Linked DNA regions of Oreochromis niloticus. The protein of the gene in region 1 interacts with the protein of each later gene in a pairwise test. Links are inferred from orthologs where the notes say so. Each region holds a gene or a part of one and is shown on either strand. Other genes may lie near its edges.

The links.
Region 2: the proteins of cep19 (region 1) and cep43 interact in binary tests that used the Homo sapiens proteins (3 or more experiments, as listed by UniProt). The two-hybrid records come from large-scale screens. The link is inferred for Oreochromis niloticus from reciprocal best matches to the Homo sapiens genes CEP19 and CEP43.

Annotation. Positions count from the first base shown.
Region 1 is NC_031986.2:38,135,552-38,144,059, forward strand, and holds cep19 (centrosomal protein of 19 kDa), read right to left. Parts: upstream 3,193-8,508; 5' UTR 3,019-3,192; coding exon 2,889-3,018; exon of another isoform or gene 2,847-2,888; coding exon of another isoform or gene 2,830-2,846; intron 2,513-2,829; exon of another isoform or gene 2,438-2,512; coding exon of another isoform or gene 2,358-2,437; coding exon 2,011-2,357; 3' UTR 539-2,010; downstream 1-538. Other genes in the region: pigx (phosphatidylinositol-glycan biosynthesis class X protein), read left to right, coding at 3,529-3,601, 3,927-4,014, 4,106-4,241, 4,369-4,582, 5,008-5,108, 5,204-5,341. UniProt on the Homo sapiens protein: Required for ciliation. Recruits the RABL2B GTPase to the ciliary base to initiate ciliation.
Region 2 is NC_031980.2:25,518,053-25,526,192, forward strand, and holds the start of cep43 (centrosomal protein 43), read left to right. Parts: upstream 1-4,711; 5' UTR 4,712-4,760; coding exon 4,761-4,844; intron 4,845-5,721; coding exon 5,722-5,775; intron 5,776-6,293; coding exon 6,294-6,348; intron 6,349-7,974; coding exon 7,975-8,063; intron 8,064-8,140. Other genes in the region: mboat2b (lysophospholipid acyltransferase 2b), read right to left, coding at 710-764, 839-894, 979-1,074, 1,500-1,577, 2,023-2,168, 3,409-3,537. UniProt on the Homo sapiens protein: Required for anchoring microtubules to the centrosomes. Required for ciliation.

The DNA.
Region 1 (8,508 bases):
AAGGCCTAATCCGGAGTTGGAGTATATCTATACTTGTTGCTTTGCTATGTCCGTGTTATTGGATTTCAAGATGCCTGTCTTTGTCCAGTAGCTCTAAAATGACTAGTTTACCTATGTATTATTTGTCTACTTTGGGTAAATCTGGGTAATCTTCTGGGTGTAGTTTCACAAATTGTCATTCAGAAAGTTGTTCCTCTTAAGTCATTTGCTTTGTGTGTGAGAGTGTGTGTGTCAGGCGCGCGCGTGTGTGTGTAAAAAGAAACTCAAAAACCCGGATTGTGTCTTAAGCATACTTGAAATATCAGTTTTATAAATGACTTTTAAATAAATTAACAGCCTGCTGAGAATTTACAATTCAGTTGCCCAAATCCATGTGTAAATGGTGATGGGAAAAGGAATTGTCAGGTTTTTTTTTTTTTTGTTACTACCTCCTTAGGGAATACATCGGCACTGCAAAAATGACTGCAATTGATAACAATGTAAAAAACTGTTTTGATTAGCTTAAACCAAACTAGCAAAGCAATGTAAAATCATTCTGTATTGCATTTTAACAAAAACCTGCGACATCTTTGAATGTATTGTGGTACTAATGGTCAGTCAGTCAGTCAGTGTCTATTGTCAACTGAATGAGGTATTTAAGCACTTTGAATGACATTTTCCCCTTAAAAGGTTTGATAATGCAGGCTTAGTTTTATGATATAGTTTATCTCTTTTAAAACTTTTGCCATAGAACATCATGTCAAACCATATATATGGAAGTATATATATTTTGTATGATATAAAACTATTTTGTGGACACATTTTTTTTTTCCCAAAGATATATTTGTTGTATTGCTTACTTCCTGGTGTACACTCAGATTTTATTTAATAGGATTTTAGAATCTTCTTTTCATATTCAACTGTGAATATCACTCATCTAGGTGTAAGCCACAAATAAAAGAACCAAAGTCTTTGTATTTTGTAAAATTCAGTATTTTATAACAAATAAAGATTCACTATTATCCATGCATAATTTTGTTTATTGCACCTTAAAACGGAATTTTATGTTTGTTATCATTATATTATCAGGTTGTTCTCAAACATTGTTTGGTTTTGTTTCCCCTGATTTAGAAATGTTCCTCTAGACTCTGTGCCTGTTTCATTTCATGACTGAAGTTTAGGTGTTGCTGGAGGCCTGTTCCCGAAAGCAAGTTAATGAAAATGGAGTTTATTAACCCTTACCTGAGGGAAACGCTTAACGAACTTAAACTATGGGTTAGTTACTTGGGTAACAGTATCTCGGGTGTAGTAATTTGCCTTAAAACAGGTGCTTTTATGTCATCAGTGTTAGAGACTGCAGTCACTGGATGTTGTAAATTTAATATCTCTATTGGTTGTGACTAAGAGCTCGTGCACAATCAACATTTCTGCTGACAGCATTGAAGTCACCTCTAAAAAGTGTCAGATTTGAAACTTGACATCTGTAAATCACCTAACGTATTACTGGACCAGGCTATGACTTTAAAATCCATAAGTAAACAGTCTTGTTTTTTAAGATATATTTTAGTGCCCATGAGGCTACAGCTGAAGAAATGGTCTGTCTTTAAAAAATATAATAAAAATAACTTACTACAGGATTCCAGAAATATCCTAACTTTGTCTATCAAGAAGCATTCAAGTGAAATAAATTATGACTAACTGGATCAAACCAATAGTAACAGTTACTATTGTTACCTTACCTAATGACCATTTATGCCTTTATTTTATTTTTGTTTTGTTTTTTACAGATTAATGCTATGGTACACAGACACAAAATCATAGCTCTAGTTTCCCTTGATTAACAGGCTTTGGTCTTTGCTTGCCATTAAGGGAGGTTCATGGTGGTTTTTTTGTCATTAAAGGCATAGTGTTTCTACTATATTGACGTTTATTGAAGCATTGCCATCTACAACAGTTGGGTTGTATGTTCCTGCAGTCTCACTATAGATTTACATCTACATTCTTAATTAAAACATTGATGAAGAGAGAGTTTTAAAATCCATCATCTGATTCTTCATCCCAGCTGCACTTTTCTAAGGTGGTCTTAGTGAAATCAACTTCCAAGTTGTAAACAAAGTCAGGATCATCTTTGTGCCTCCGGTTTTTCTCAAACAGTTCGTCCATTTGGCCTTTCTTGCGTGCCAGCTCCTCATCGTCCAGTTTGTTCAGGTCTTCGTCAGGGTCCAGACAGAACGAGGAGAGGCTGTGCTCCAGACTGAAGCCCTGCATGTGATCGCGTAGGATAATGTGAAGCTTCTCAAGCTGGCTCTGAGAGACACCCTCCAGGTAGTCCCTGTGTCGAGGGTTGTTCTTCAGCCTTTCAGCAGCCATGCTGTAGTCTGGAAGAGACGGCATGAGGTAATAGGATGGTTGTAGTCCTGCCCAGCTACTTCGTGGCAATCTACAAGAACAAAATAAGCTACATACATATGTTAATGCAGTGTGCATTCACGACTCCAGCTCTGATCACAGTACCTATGTCTCAAAAAATGGACTAACAAAAACAGGAAGGAAAAAACGCAGAACGATAAATGTATGTTTCCATGTATTACATATTAGTTATTTATTATTAACACTCACTAGCAATGACCTTAGTTAAACAAAGTAAGATGCTCCTATTTTAGTCAGAAATAGGAGCCTGAGGCTCAGCAGCTTGCAGGTAATCCACCTGCTGCTATCCACGAGATATAGAAATCAAAACTTCAGGGCCTCATGACTCTGACAGATTTGTTAGATTTACTAGAGTATTATATAATTATTAATATACAGCAAACGAGGCTAAAATAATATTCTCACACTGATTGTAGCTACCTTGTAACATGTGACATGGAGCACAGAGAACGAGTCCCAATGTGTCCGTGGTGCCTTACCGGAGTATTTGGAGAAATTTCGCACAGGTATTATTCTTTTTCGCACCTTTTTGGTTTCCGTGTGCTCATAAATTAAAACTATGGATGGAGGGCTGAACTGCACCCCGCAGCGCTTTGCCGCAAAACGCATCCTGTACTTCTATTACAACAAACAAACTTAACCCAATCCGACCATCAATTTAAACATGTTTAAAACAGAAACATCGCAGCCATAATTATTGCTACTAGCGCACAGTATGAATAAAAAAAAATCGAGCAGCGGCTTCAGGGATGATTACGCGTTGCCAGGTTGCCAGCAGAGCCTTTACGTAAAGACGCTTCTGTTTGTTGGGATGCCTGACGCTAAATTTCGGATTTAAAAAATTAATATAAAATCATTTAACTTTCACGTATCATTATTATTCATTTTATTCCTGAAAACTGCTTTCTATGTCTATAAATGTTACTAAATGTTTCCTTAAAAGCTTGTGTTTTTCAATCTCTACACAGGCACATTTGCAGGCTCCCTGAAACTACAAAAGGGGCCTTCAAAAAATCATCTTCCGTAAACACTTCAAAGAAGCGCTTAAGCGGTGGTAGCTGTGCTTGAGTTAAATAAACAGCCTATAAACGCGTCTCAGCGTTGGCCATTATATTTTTAATGTATTTTAAACTGTTCTGTGTTGTTTCTGCGTTGAGCTTATTCTCGAAATGTCACTGTTTGGGTGAAAAGGGTACGTGAGCTAGGTTCTATGTGAAAACTCGATAGTCATTCAATAAGCTCTCATTATTATTGATTGAAGGTCATTTAAATTAAGTTGTTGGGGGTTTTTTTTGGTTTTTTTGTTTGAGGGAAGGAATAGTATTTTTACAGTAGACAAAAAAGTGCTGTAAATATACCCCTGTATGGATAACATGACATATATAATCTAGCATAGTTTGAAAAACAAATGCATCTTTAATCCCATCCTGCGATTTTCCAAAAATATAGATACATGTTCAAATTCAAAAAGCTTTTACCTGGAGATACTGATCAGTGTAACCTGCTAATTTGTGCAGATGAGATTCAGAATCACTGTGATCTTCTGAGGCAGTGGCTTGCGCCCTCATCAGTGACAGTGGAGCTCAACAAAAAGGGTTTCCACAGGTATTCGGTTGTTTGTTTTCTCAAAAGAAAGCTGTTCTGCCTTTGGGGCTACTTGTCAGGAGAATCAATGATATTTTCTAATATGTTTTAGGGAGGTGACAACTACAGTTGAGTTCAGATCCAAAGAGCTCTGTGGTGTCAAAGTTTTGCTGATTCATAGATGGCCCAGAGATGTCTATGTTGATCCATATCAACTTGCATCCCTTAGCGATCAAAACAAGTGGAAGGTAAGACACCGAGCAACTAGATGTAGTATAACGCAGTGTAAAATTCTACTACAAACCACAGTCATGTACAAAACATGTGCACAGTGTATATGTTTTATTTAATTATTTCTGTGTTAAACTTTGTAAGATATTACTAGATTCACCCATTGACCTTGAGGTTCCTGCTCACGAAGCTTCAGGATTTGTCACCTATGTGTATCCTTTCTCCACTGGACCAACTTCCAAGTTATTCAAAGTAACAATTCCAATACATGGTCGCTACCACAAGCCCTCATTTGATGGAAAAATGTTTAAATCTGTTGACATAGAAGCTCCAGAGCTGCTGCTGCGGACAGAAAAATGTAAGTGGATTCATTTTATTTTATAGCAATTTCTGACACTATGTAAATCTATACAGAAAGAAAACAATGTAAACCAAATGTGGTATTTAAAATGCAATGTTGTGTCATGATGTGTAATGAAACAAATTAACGAAATACATTAAATCAACCTTACTGTTTGCAATATAATTTTACGTGACTGCATAATTAAACTAAATGATGTCGGAGCGTAAAATCCTAAATTTGTATCTGTTTTCTATGAAAGTGGAGTGTCAATGAATATTACCAAATTATTTCAGTTTTGTGGTTGTGGATAGGTTGCATACATATAATAACTTTAATGATCAAAACTTTATAGTATAAAAACAAAAATGTGACTTAAAAAATGTGACTTTTCAGTTTGGCTTTCTGAAACACTTTCTTCTAAAACTATTTCTCTTATCCAGGTGCACAGCTTAGCAGCTTAGAGCCTCACACAGTTGTGGATGCACCATGCACTGCCAGCAATTCAAGCACTTGTTCTTGGGTTAAAGTCAAGCCTCAGCAGGTGATTGTGTACAATATTTCACCAAATCTTGAGTGAAAAGGTGATTTAAAAAAACAAAACTCAATCATTCAATTGTTTCCCTTTTTGCCTTATAGGATCTCAATCCAGTGAGTTTCCAGCTCCCAGTGGGTGATGGGTCTTTGGTGGCACACGTATGCGGAGGGACTCTTCTTGTCACAATGATCTGCTGTGTGGCACTGTCCAAATACATGTGGAAACATCAAATAATTTAAAGAGCAAAAATTGTACTGGCATTATGTTGTTGTTGTTTTTTTTTATCAAACTAACAAGGAAGAGGCACTTTCAGTGTTGTTATCTTATCTGCAGAAATGTTGCAAGCAGAGAACAGGACTAATTGAGATGGGAAAGAATACTGAGATATTGCTGAAACAACAGATAAATGCTGAAAGATATCAGAATTTATCTTTTTCCATTCCAGCCAATGTAACTATGTTTATTTTGGTGAATCCCGCAACCTGTGCAAGCATTTTTCCTGCTATGACCTCATTTTGGGAGGATCATGATTCTTTATCTGTTCAGTTTAGCGCACCTAATTAAGGAACATAAAAATCTATTAGTTTGTACTGTTTTGGGGTATTTGGTAGTGATTTTCATTTATTTTTGTCTATAACATGGGCTATTATAATAACACGATTATAAAACTGGAGTCTACAGTAGTATAATCTGTATTTTAACACTGAATAAAATGTATACAGTTCAGACTGCTATAAATACAATATAACAACAATGTTAATAGTATTCTTTTCTTGTGGCAGTTTAAAGAATGCCATGATGAGGTAAAGGTCATATCCATTTGAGACAGAGTACCGGGTGTCATACTGTGCCAATGTTTGGACGTTTGATTTATGAGTGACAAACTGTGCTGCCATGCATGCTGTCAGGACAAAACAAGTTTTTTATTCTTCCAGCTTATCTGTCTTGTCTTATTGCATCTGTTATCCAGTTTTGGTCTCCTAAAAGGCTCCATTTGTAGTTGTATGTTCTTGACCCTGTTGGGTAGTGCATGTGGCACTACACAACCTATTTCAACATGGAAACGCCTTCACACAATGCAGTCAATGAAGAGCCAGTCAAATTTTTTTCTTGTTTTGCAGAGAAAATGCTTAGGGCAATTTAGAAATTGTATAATCACATAGTTTGTTAAAAAGATTTAAGTCTGCAGCATATTATGGATCACCAGTGAGCAAAGAGAGGTGCATAGTCACATAGTGTCAACAGTAGAAGTGTTTTTGAAATCATCCTCTGTAAAATGTAACTAGAACTTTCTCCAAAAGTTGAATCTGTTCATCTGGACGTAGCGTTTTGTGGGAGAAACGTTTCGTCACTCATCCAAGTGACTTCTTCAGTCTCAGCTGACTGCAGGTTTCCCCAAACCTTATAAACAGGACATTTGCATAATGACTGAAACCAGCCCACAGAAGGAACAATGGGCTGTGACGTTTTAACTAGAACTTTCACCACCGGGGGCAGTACCAGCTCCTGTAGTAAGAAAATGTACCTGAGATCCCCCAGTAAAGATCTGGATATACTCTCTACCTGAGATGATCACATACAGTGACACAACTGTCTTTTGTCTAAATTACATATCAATAAGAGCACACCCACTGCAAATAGCATTAGATATCTTGCTTGATCGCTATTTTTGACTGGGAAAATTAGCACCAAGAGCTTTTATCATACCAGTAATATACTCAGCATGCTCATTAACTCCTGTATTTTCAATGAGCTGTCTCCAGCAGTGGAAAGCTGCACTTATGTTTACTCTTCTTTTACTTGATTTCCCTTTGGGAGGTGATGCTGCTGCTGCTGATAACGGTTACTTTCCAGGTGCTTCCTCTGCTTCTCCATATTTCCTCTTCCTCTCATGTTGACTTTCTACACCATCTTGTGGAACAAACTGTTAATACAGAAAAGTACAATCTAGCCCTATTTTAACTTCAGTTGATAACTATATGCACAAAATATAGAAATTTTTTGTTATAAAGTCAATTGTATCTGTTGGAGTTGGTGGTGATGAGTGTCAGGGGTGATTTGTGACTGAAGGATAGCAGCAGAGTGAAAGTGAAGGTTTACATGATGGTAGAGAGACCTGAGATGAGATGGCACTGATAAAGACTCAGGAGGCCAACCTGGCGGTGGCGGAGTTGAACATGTTTAGATTTTCATTAGAAAGAACCAGGAAGTGCACAATCACAAAATTGAGGAAGATGTTGGGATAAGGTGAGATGGAGGCAGATGACCCACTGTGGCAACCCCTAAAGGAAGCTAAAGAACCTTTATAAGTTCTTACTAGTTTATGAACTATACTGCAGGAAAACTAATAAGTAGTTAACCTATTATCTTCCCTTTTTTTAATATAACTAACATATTATATGTCTATATTGCTTTTCCTCCCTCAAAATAGGCATTTTTTGTTGTTGCTATAAAAATTTTGCCCTCATTTGGAATGAGTCTTTGTGACTTAACATAAGTCTATACATTTTTCTGTTGTTTCTCACAGCGTGATGAACAACGATGTGTGTATAGAAAGTACACTGGCTAGTATGTTATTGGCTTTTTTTCTTCTTCTTTCATTTACGCTGTAAAAATCTGAGTATAAAATTAAGCTTTCAAAATTAGGCCATTTAAAATTTCCTAGGGCAGGAAAATAAACAAACGTTACATTAATGTCAGATTAGTGAGAGAAACCTCCCACATTATAGTTATAATTAACAAAATAATTGCTCTGCAGCTGGAAAATTACGTCTGTAAATGCTGAACTACATTACCTAAAACCTAATGAAACTTCCACTTTAATAAGTTTCAGCATGTTTCACATTTTTATTATTCTTAATGCTTAAAAACGTGTTATTGCACATTATGATCCGTGTGGTTTTGCACACGGGCTCTGATTTTTCTTTTCTTTTTTTTCTTTGCTTAAGATAGCTGACTGTCTTCACCCACCATTCATTTGAAACATTTTATTGAATAGGCCAGGGCTGGGTCGGTAGTTCCGCTTCCCCTTCGCCATAGCGGAATTATCCAAGGGCCGAAAAGATAGAAGAAAAGTTGCACTGTAAATAGTTGGAGTAACCATTGTACTAAGTTATTTATACACCGGCTGTACCACCGGGGAGCACTTGTTACGGTGGAATAACTTTTAAAGGATATACAGACGTTTTGCACACCGTCGAGGATCGTTCGGGACTGAAGTTCTAATCAAGTTTAACTGGTGTGGATTCTCCGGTAAGCTTCTCTGCTCCTGCGTCGCCTTCTTTAGCTAAATAAAGCTCATTTGTGCGGAATAGTTTGCGAATTGGCATGTTTAGTGATTTCTAAAGCACCGCTTAACAGTGTTATTTTTCGGGGATCATGGGGAGGAACCTTCAAGCCTGGTTGT
Region 2 (8,140 bases), on another chromosome or scaffold:
AACATAGTATGAGACCATTGTTTCATTTGGCTCTATAATGACATCTCTCACCTTCTCAATAAAACCAAAGGTGTTCTGGATGTGCTGTTCAGAGCTGCCTACCATTGATTGATTAATGATCAAGGAACTGACCTCAGAGCCCATGTTTCATTTAGAGGGCTAATTTCAGTTATTGTGCAAATGTACTGTTCCTAAGGTTGAGGAAACCTGCAGTGAGCTGAGACTGAAGAAGCCACCTGGATGAGTGACGAAACATCCAGATGAACAGAATCAACATTTTGCAACTCCAACACTGCCGATAACGCAATGAAAAATGAAGGCTACAGAATGAGGATTGTTCATGCAAAGATCTACTAAGAGCAGGAAGATGACCATTCAAATGGTTCCGCTATGTCATGAGATCTGAAGGACTGATCCAGTAACCAACCAGGGAAAGTGACTCAGCCGAGGTCCTACCCCTACACTCGAGTCTGATTGCGTATTTTTTGTTTTTAGTTTAGATTAAGCTATTTTTTCATACTAAACCTGTTTTGCATGAACAGAAGTACAGCTGGAAGTTGCATCACTTTTAGGGAGAAGTTTTAGGGCAGAGATACCTTTGATTGACAAGTGTCTACCATGGAGGTATGGATTTTGTCTTAAGCTCCACCCTCCTGCTTAAACACGTTGATTTCTGCTCCAGTAAATAATGTTTCTACCTTGAACAAACCTTATTGCCAGAATCTTCTGTCCCGCCGTCAGATGTTCCTCCTTCCGAGCCATTCCTGTCAGAAACACAGAGTGGACAGTAAAACCTGCAGGATTTACTGAAAACAGCCCGTCTGAGAGTGCAGCTCACCGTCATGGATCTCAAATGCCAGGCTGGTGATCTTCTGAGTGATGACCATCATGGGGCTGCAGAGAGAGCAGAGGCAGAGGTTAGAGCCTGGACATGGGGAGGCGTTTAGGAGTGAATGGGCCACAGAGCGGAGGTGTTACCCTGTGAAATCGGCGGTGTACATGCCGTAGTCAAAGACGTACACTCGAGTGATCTGACACAGGCTCAGGTATGTGAGCGCCACTACTAGGCAGTACCTGGAAAAACACAGAGAGCAGGCCGTTATTCAACGTGGGGTCGGCGACCCTGACGAGCTCACTGAGGTCTGAGGACCTCTGTGATGATCTGGCTCACTCAGGTTCCTGACTGTAGCTCATGTGAAGCTCCACGGGTTTAAGAACTTCACCAGTCTGAAGTTTGCATCCTTTTTAGCACAGAACACCTGCTGCAGTCATGTTTGTTTGGCTGGAAGGACCACATTGTTACTTTTACGACATCCGAATCTGTGCAAGTCCTTTTGTGCCAGTATTCATGACCTAATGTTCACAGAGCTGGAAATAACTGAGGTCCGACTGTGAGCTGCTCTCCTGACATCACAGGTGATAAAAAGTTTCCTCATTAACCCTGAGCTCGTTAATGGCTTGTTAGTACCGTTTTAATCCGTGTCGTTTGTGACGCTCACTTGTGCATGTGTTCGACTCCAGTGAGGATCATGATGCCATAGGCGAGTCCGCTCTGAACCAGGAAGTGGAGAGCATACCTGTAAAACAAGGAGAACACAGACACCAGCTGACCAGAACACGTGACGTATCTGCTGCTGCTGTGACAAACGCTCACGTTAAACATAACAAGCATTGAGAGCTTGTTTTAGGGTCATCTGAGACACAGAGCGAATCAGAAGAAAGCTTTCTTAAAGGGGGAGGAGCTAAAATAAATTGTTTCAGATAGCGAGAGAAAGAAAGAAGGATTATAATTACTGTGAGTCATGCAAAGCTGCTCTAACAGCGGCTTCTTATTTAATCCAGTGACATCTGATGTTTTCTGCTCCTAACACGTCGTTATTGTGTCATTTTTCCTTTATAGCTGAGATGAGCGACACAGGCATGACAGTAAACCTCTATCAGAACTCTGATTGGTTCAATTTTAGGATAAGTCAGACTTTGGAGAGCTCAGTTTTATTGATCCTGAGTCACAGTCTGTCTTACCAGCCAAAGCAGAACATGGCGAAGTAGAGTCCCAGCAGCGTGGCCACCGCGTGCCGGATGACGGGACTGGTCTTACTGGGATGAAGGAAGAGACGAAACCAGAAGGCAGAGATCAGAGCGCAGAGCTGGCACGCCACGAAGTTCACCTGCAGGCGAAGCAAACAGACAGCGCGTCATTGGTGCTTCAGGATGTCCAGGTGAGAGAGGGCAGACCCACCCACCGTTGGACTGCTCCGCTTCCTTCAGGCTGACCCCTCACCTTCTCTAACACCTTCACTTAGAGAAGGTGACTGCGCTGCGTCAGAGAGGAGTCACATGACTCTTTCAGAGCCAATACAAGCACAAAATAGCCGCCTTTTTCTCCAAGCAGCTCCTCCTGCAAGAGGGCGAGGAGGAGGATCTTAATCATCATCAACACAGTAACAGCCATGTTAATGTCCAGACACTGTCTGCTACAGAGTAATACCAGAGTACTACCAGAATACTACCAGAATACTACCAAAATAATACCAGATTACTACCAGAATAACATCAGAGTACTACCAGAATACTACCAAAATAATACCAGATTACTACCAGAATACTACCAGAATAACATCAGAGTGCTGTTTGAGATGGAGTGACCTCGGTGAGGGTCGCACCTCCCGGCCTCCTTCTCGGAGCACCTCTGGCAGCGCCCACAAACTGGATTTCTCTCTGCAGACGATGACATCAGCCCACAGGAGATACTGGTGTCACCAGTACTTCCCCGTAAAACCAGTAAACAGAGGCAGCTGGTCACCTGATCCGGCTCCAGAGGCCTGGCTGTCAGCCAGTCAGAGGGGAGGAGCGTGCAGCTCACCAGGATCACCTAATGAAGGTCCATACAACCACACTGTGATCTACATCTGCTGAGTGAGCAGCTGCTCCCCTCTGAGTTCTGGACTGAGGAATGACCAATCAGGAGCTGACGTGGCGGTCATGGCTGTGCCTGGTTATCACCTGAGCAACACCTGCGTCAGAGAAGCTCCACACCTGACCCCGGAGCAGCCGAGACCTCCGCCCACAGAAATGTGGAGCCTCAGGAGCATCACGGGTGACAGCCCCCCTCCACCACCACCACCACCACCACCGACATGACTTCCCCCTTCACCATCATCACAATAGAAACCGTCCGCACAGCCGCACTCGTACATCCCCTCCCTCCTCCTCCTCACGTGAATGGGCAGCATGAAGCCTCTCCTCCATCACAGCTGCTGGAGTCTGCACGAGGCCTCCACCCTTTATTTTTACGGACAAAGACCCCTCCCTTCCCCGTCCTCGTCTCTCTTTGTCCCCCCGTCTCCGACCTCCGGAGCGGCGGCCGCCGGGGTCCGGGGTGGAGGTCCGGGCTCCGGCGGCTCTTACCTGGTCCAGCGGCAGGTCGGTGAGCTCACTGAGCGGCTGCAGAAGGCTGGAGCCTGTGCAGGCCGTGGATGGAGCTCCGTCGTCGGCCATAGCTCCGATGTTAGGCCGGCCGTGCTGCTTCTGATACATGCAGCTGCGCAGAGACGGCGGATGCTCCGTGATCCACCGGCGGTCCGTGCCCGTGCGTCTGCGCGTGCTTCTCTGCTTCCTGCTCCTCCTCCTCTTCCCCTCCGTCTGCCTCCTCCTCCTCCTGCTTTCTCTTCAGCTCAGTCTCAGAAACATCTTTTGGCATCTGGCTGAAGAACACACACACAAACAGCTCACCTCATCTGAAGGCAAAGTCTTTGTTTCATCGTGTGAGTATGGAAGGACAAAACTGACAAAACACTAAATCATTAACTAATAAATTAATTCATTTTTTTAAGTCTGTCGGTCGCACTCAAAACTGAGGCACTGACGGTGTTTTACTGTATGTGACAGCCATTCCTGATTTTATCAGAATCAGAATACTTTATTAATCCCTAGGGAAATTATGTGGGTTACAGTTATAGAATAATCCTTTAATTGTCCCACAAGTTGCGCCAGTACAGTAGCATTGACAAAAACAAACTAGACCATTTATCAATACAATATGTTAAGATATGAAGAATAGCCCAATATATACAATATATACAAATAATAAATATTCAGGGTTGACAGATGTGATTATAAATAAATATCAAGAAATTGACAGAAACATTACAGAGTAAGAAAGAGTGTGTGCAAAAAGGATGTAACTATTGTAGTGTTTAGTGTGTATTAGATGGACGAGTTGTACAGGGAGATGGCCACAGGCATTTTGGTAATCTCTGGTAACATTTTTGTATGCAGTATTCCGTGCAGTACAGTGCAGTATTTTTACTCACTGGGGATGTTATGAGTCTTCTATTTTATTTTTCGGCCCCTGTGAAGCTTTTTGTAGCAGAGGTGGAACGACTGCACAGTTATGGATCTGATGTGAAGACAGACTCGGTCTGGAGATACAATAAATACAAGGTCACAAACTAGCTCAGAAAGTTAGAAATCACACAAACGCTCAAATGTAAAAATAAAATAAAATAAAAGTGGAAATAAAATGAAAAACGTGACTCTGAATCCATCTCACGGACCGTGAAGTAAACTAAGGCGTTAACGCAGTTTGTTAAACAGGTAAATTATCCAGCTCCAACTCAGCCTGCAAGCCAGCAGATGGCATTCAGATCGGCTAAAGAGCAACAGAAGAAGAAAGGGCGGAAGTTGCGTCAGATTGTTTTGGTGTGTTGTCCTGGCAGCAGCGGTTAGCTACATTAGCATCTTTAGATTCAGACAGAAACATGTCAGCAGCCGAGGACGACACGGAGCTGCGGGACCTGCTGATCCAGAACCTTGAGAACAGCGGAGCTCTGAACAAGCTGAAGGTGAAAGGTCACGTTTAACGTGAGGCGCCCTGACGGCGGGATAGGCTACAGCTACCCGCAGCTAACAGGCAGCTAACGGCTACTAACCGGCTACTCAGAGACTGTTTTAGGTTTATTTTATTTAACCTGAGAGGAGAGATGAAGTTCTTATTGAGTGTAGAGGCTCAGCAGCTGTGTGAGCTCTGTTGCTGCTGGTGTCGATGAAGCAGGATCTGACCTTTCGAAAATGGAAGTACAGTTTAAACATCCGCGAGAGTAGAGGAGACATTTTATTACTAATAGCGTGTAACTGCGGCTCAGAGTAGAACCTCAAAGCTCACAGCCAAGAAGAAGAAACCTCACAGAACAAATAAAAATGGTTTTCCTTTTTTATTTCCTTTCACTCCCTGTTTTTGTCATGTGACTCGACAGCGTCAGGTGAATGGAGCTGAGAAAGACTCGCCTCCAAACCTGAAACCACTCTGATTTATATCTGATCAGTTTGTGACTTATATCTAAACTAAGCGCTGTGTGGATGGTGGAGGTCTAGTTTCGTGCGTGCTAACTTCAGCACAGGTGGGACCTGTTAGCCTAAAATCTGATCCAGGAGCAAGGAAGATTCGGGCCGAGTGCTCGTATAAAAATAATGTGAAATACAGCAAATGAATGAAACGCTGTTAGTCCTGCGACACGCTGGTGACCCGTCCAGGTGTGTCCCGCCTCGGGGAGAGGCTCCATCCCCCACGACCCTGAATAGAATGAGTGGAAGAAAACTGATGGATGGAAATGAAATAATATTTAGGAAACTCTTTTAGTTTGAAATGTCTGTCATGAATGACATGTATGTATTTACTGATTGGTTTCAATAACTGCCTGTATCGATGACATGTTCCTGCAGGCGGAGATGAGAGCGGCGGTGTTCCTGGCAATGGAGGAGCAGGACAAACTGGAGGTGAGTGATTCACACAGTGTTGATCAGTCAGTGCTGTCCGTCATTGTCCAAGATAAGGACAATGCTGGACAATACCTCCCACTCACTCTGTGAATGGTGGCCAGTCACAACAAGAGCATGAGATTACACGTAATGCAGCACTGAACAACCCCTCCATCTAATGCACAGCACACACTGAAATATCTGCACATAAAAAGGGCAGTGTTAACCATATCTATTTAATTTGTGTAGCATACTGAATTATTTATAATAAGAGCTATTTTGCTATATTTTAACTTTAGTTTAATCAGTTCCTGTTTTTAGTGTCTCGGATCGACTGTGACCACATCATTAATAAAGTATTCAAATTCAGGAACACGTGTGACAGCAGGTTCATGGTGTGTGTAGATTAAAATCAATCGTTCACTCTGGAAAAGTGAACAATTGTGGTGGGAGGAGTCAGGAAGCTGGGAGGAGTCAATGATGGTGTGACTGACCGCTTTGACCTGATCTGAGCTCTTGCTGATGTTTCTCCTCAGAATAAAAGTCCGCTGGTCAACGAGAACCTGACGAAATGTCTCAACACCAAAGACGGTGAGTTCCTCAACTTCCTCTTCCTGCCTGCAGCTGTGAGCAGGTTAACAGCGATGAAGGTCATACTGCTTCATGCTTGCTTCGTGGCTGTTAGTTTACAGTTTTACTAAATTCAGTCCAACAGAAAGACTCATCAGTGAGAGAGTTCAGAAAGGTTTAAATAATTTCAAACATGCTCTAAAGAATCCCTCACTGATGGGAGCACCCGCAAGCACCGCGGCGCAGCATCCGCAGGTTCACGATACGTTTCCTTCTTATCCTGATGTCATCGATCAGCTTCCAGACATCTGATTGGTCAGCTGGTGTGCGATTACAAACATAACCTGTTCTGAAGCAGGCCAGCCTGCAGTATGTGTTACCATGGCAATGAGTAGGAGCTGTGACAGCAAGGGTTAAGCCTGCAGTAACCTCGGTCAGCAGGCGTTGCAGCTCCTGTGTGCCCCACAGGGGGGCGCTGTGGCTTCAGCTGTCAGCTCGTCTCCTCTCAGACCACTGCAGGGAGCAGAGTTGACGAGCAGGAGTTCACCTGGATTTCAGGTGTTCATTGTGACGTTTACATGGTGTCGGTATTTTTATAAGCTGTGCTCCATCAGCAGGAATCCACTAATCAGAGCTCACTCCGACTCACACGCTGAGACTCTGGGTACATTATGTGACTTCCTGTTGGTATGTGATTTTCTGTCCTCTATTCAGCAGTGATGACAACGATGATGATGAAGATCAGAGCGTTGATCTCTTTGGCCCTCGAGGGTGTCACACAAACTTCACAAACACACAGCAGCAGGACGCCACACACATGCACGCACACACACTCGTTTAAACCACTGGGATCGAACTGGAGGCCTGCAGCTGAGTCCTGGTTGGTCTGTGGCATGAGTAGTGACACGCTCACACACTCAGTGGTGTGAAAGCTGAGCAGAGAGTTGGAGGTCAGGACGTGTTCGTCTGACCAAAAACCTGCGCCACGTTTTTTTTTGGTTTCCTGGTGACATCACAGCACTCTAATCTTGTGTGCAGTGGACACGAACTCTGCCTGAAACCCTTTAATGTGCCGATGAAGAAGAAATGAATCTTAATAACATCAGCTGTTTGTTCTTGTGTGAGGTGTCTGTGCTTATAAAGATCACATTCTCCCGCCTGCAGGTACAAACACCTGTTTGCCTTCAGCCACTGACTGAAGCTGAGCGAGTCTGTGGGTTTAAAAGTGAAAACCTTTGTTCGCTGCTTCAGAGGCGTGTGAAGAGTTTGGACGTGTCCAGGAGGATGTTTTTCACCTTTGGGATTAAATTGAATGAATAAAGCGAGCACGTCCGGTCAGCGATGAGACGCCGATGCTTCGTGTGGCCTTCAGGGACTAAATGATGTTAAACAATGAGAAGAAAAAAGCTTCATTAAAATTAGTTTCAGGGTCATGGGAGCAAAGTCACATCAATCAGATTTCAGTGTTTGATCTGTCTTACAGATCATGACTAGTGACACGCTAGGTAATCAATCAATACGTGAAATGATTGATGAGTGATAAGGATTGGTAGAACGCAGCATCAGATGATCTCAGCTGCTGAGGGAGAAGTTTTCCCTCTGATGCATCCTGATGATGGTGATAGTGATGATGTCATGCCCCTCTAGGTCGTCTGGTGGCGAGTCTGATCATGGACTTCCTGCAGGTCTTTAACCTGGACTTCAGCCTCGCCGTCTTCCAGCCAGAGATCAACTCTGTGAGTACCAGAAGCTCCTCCTCCACCTCTTCCTCCTCATGCTGCATTCAGGTGTCATAAAGCTGTGAAGAAACTGC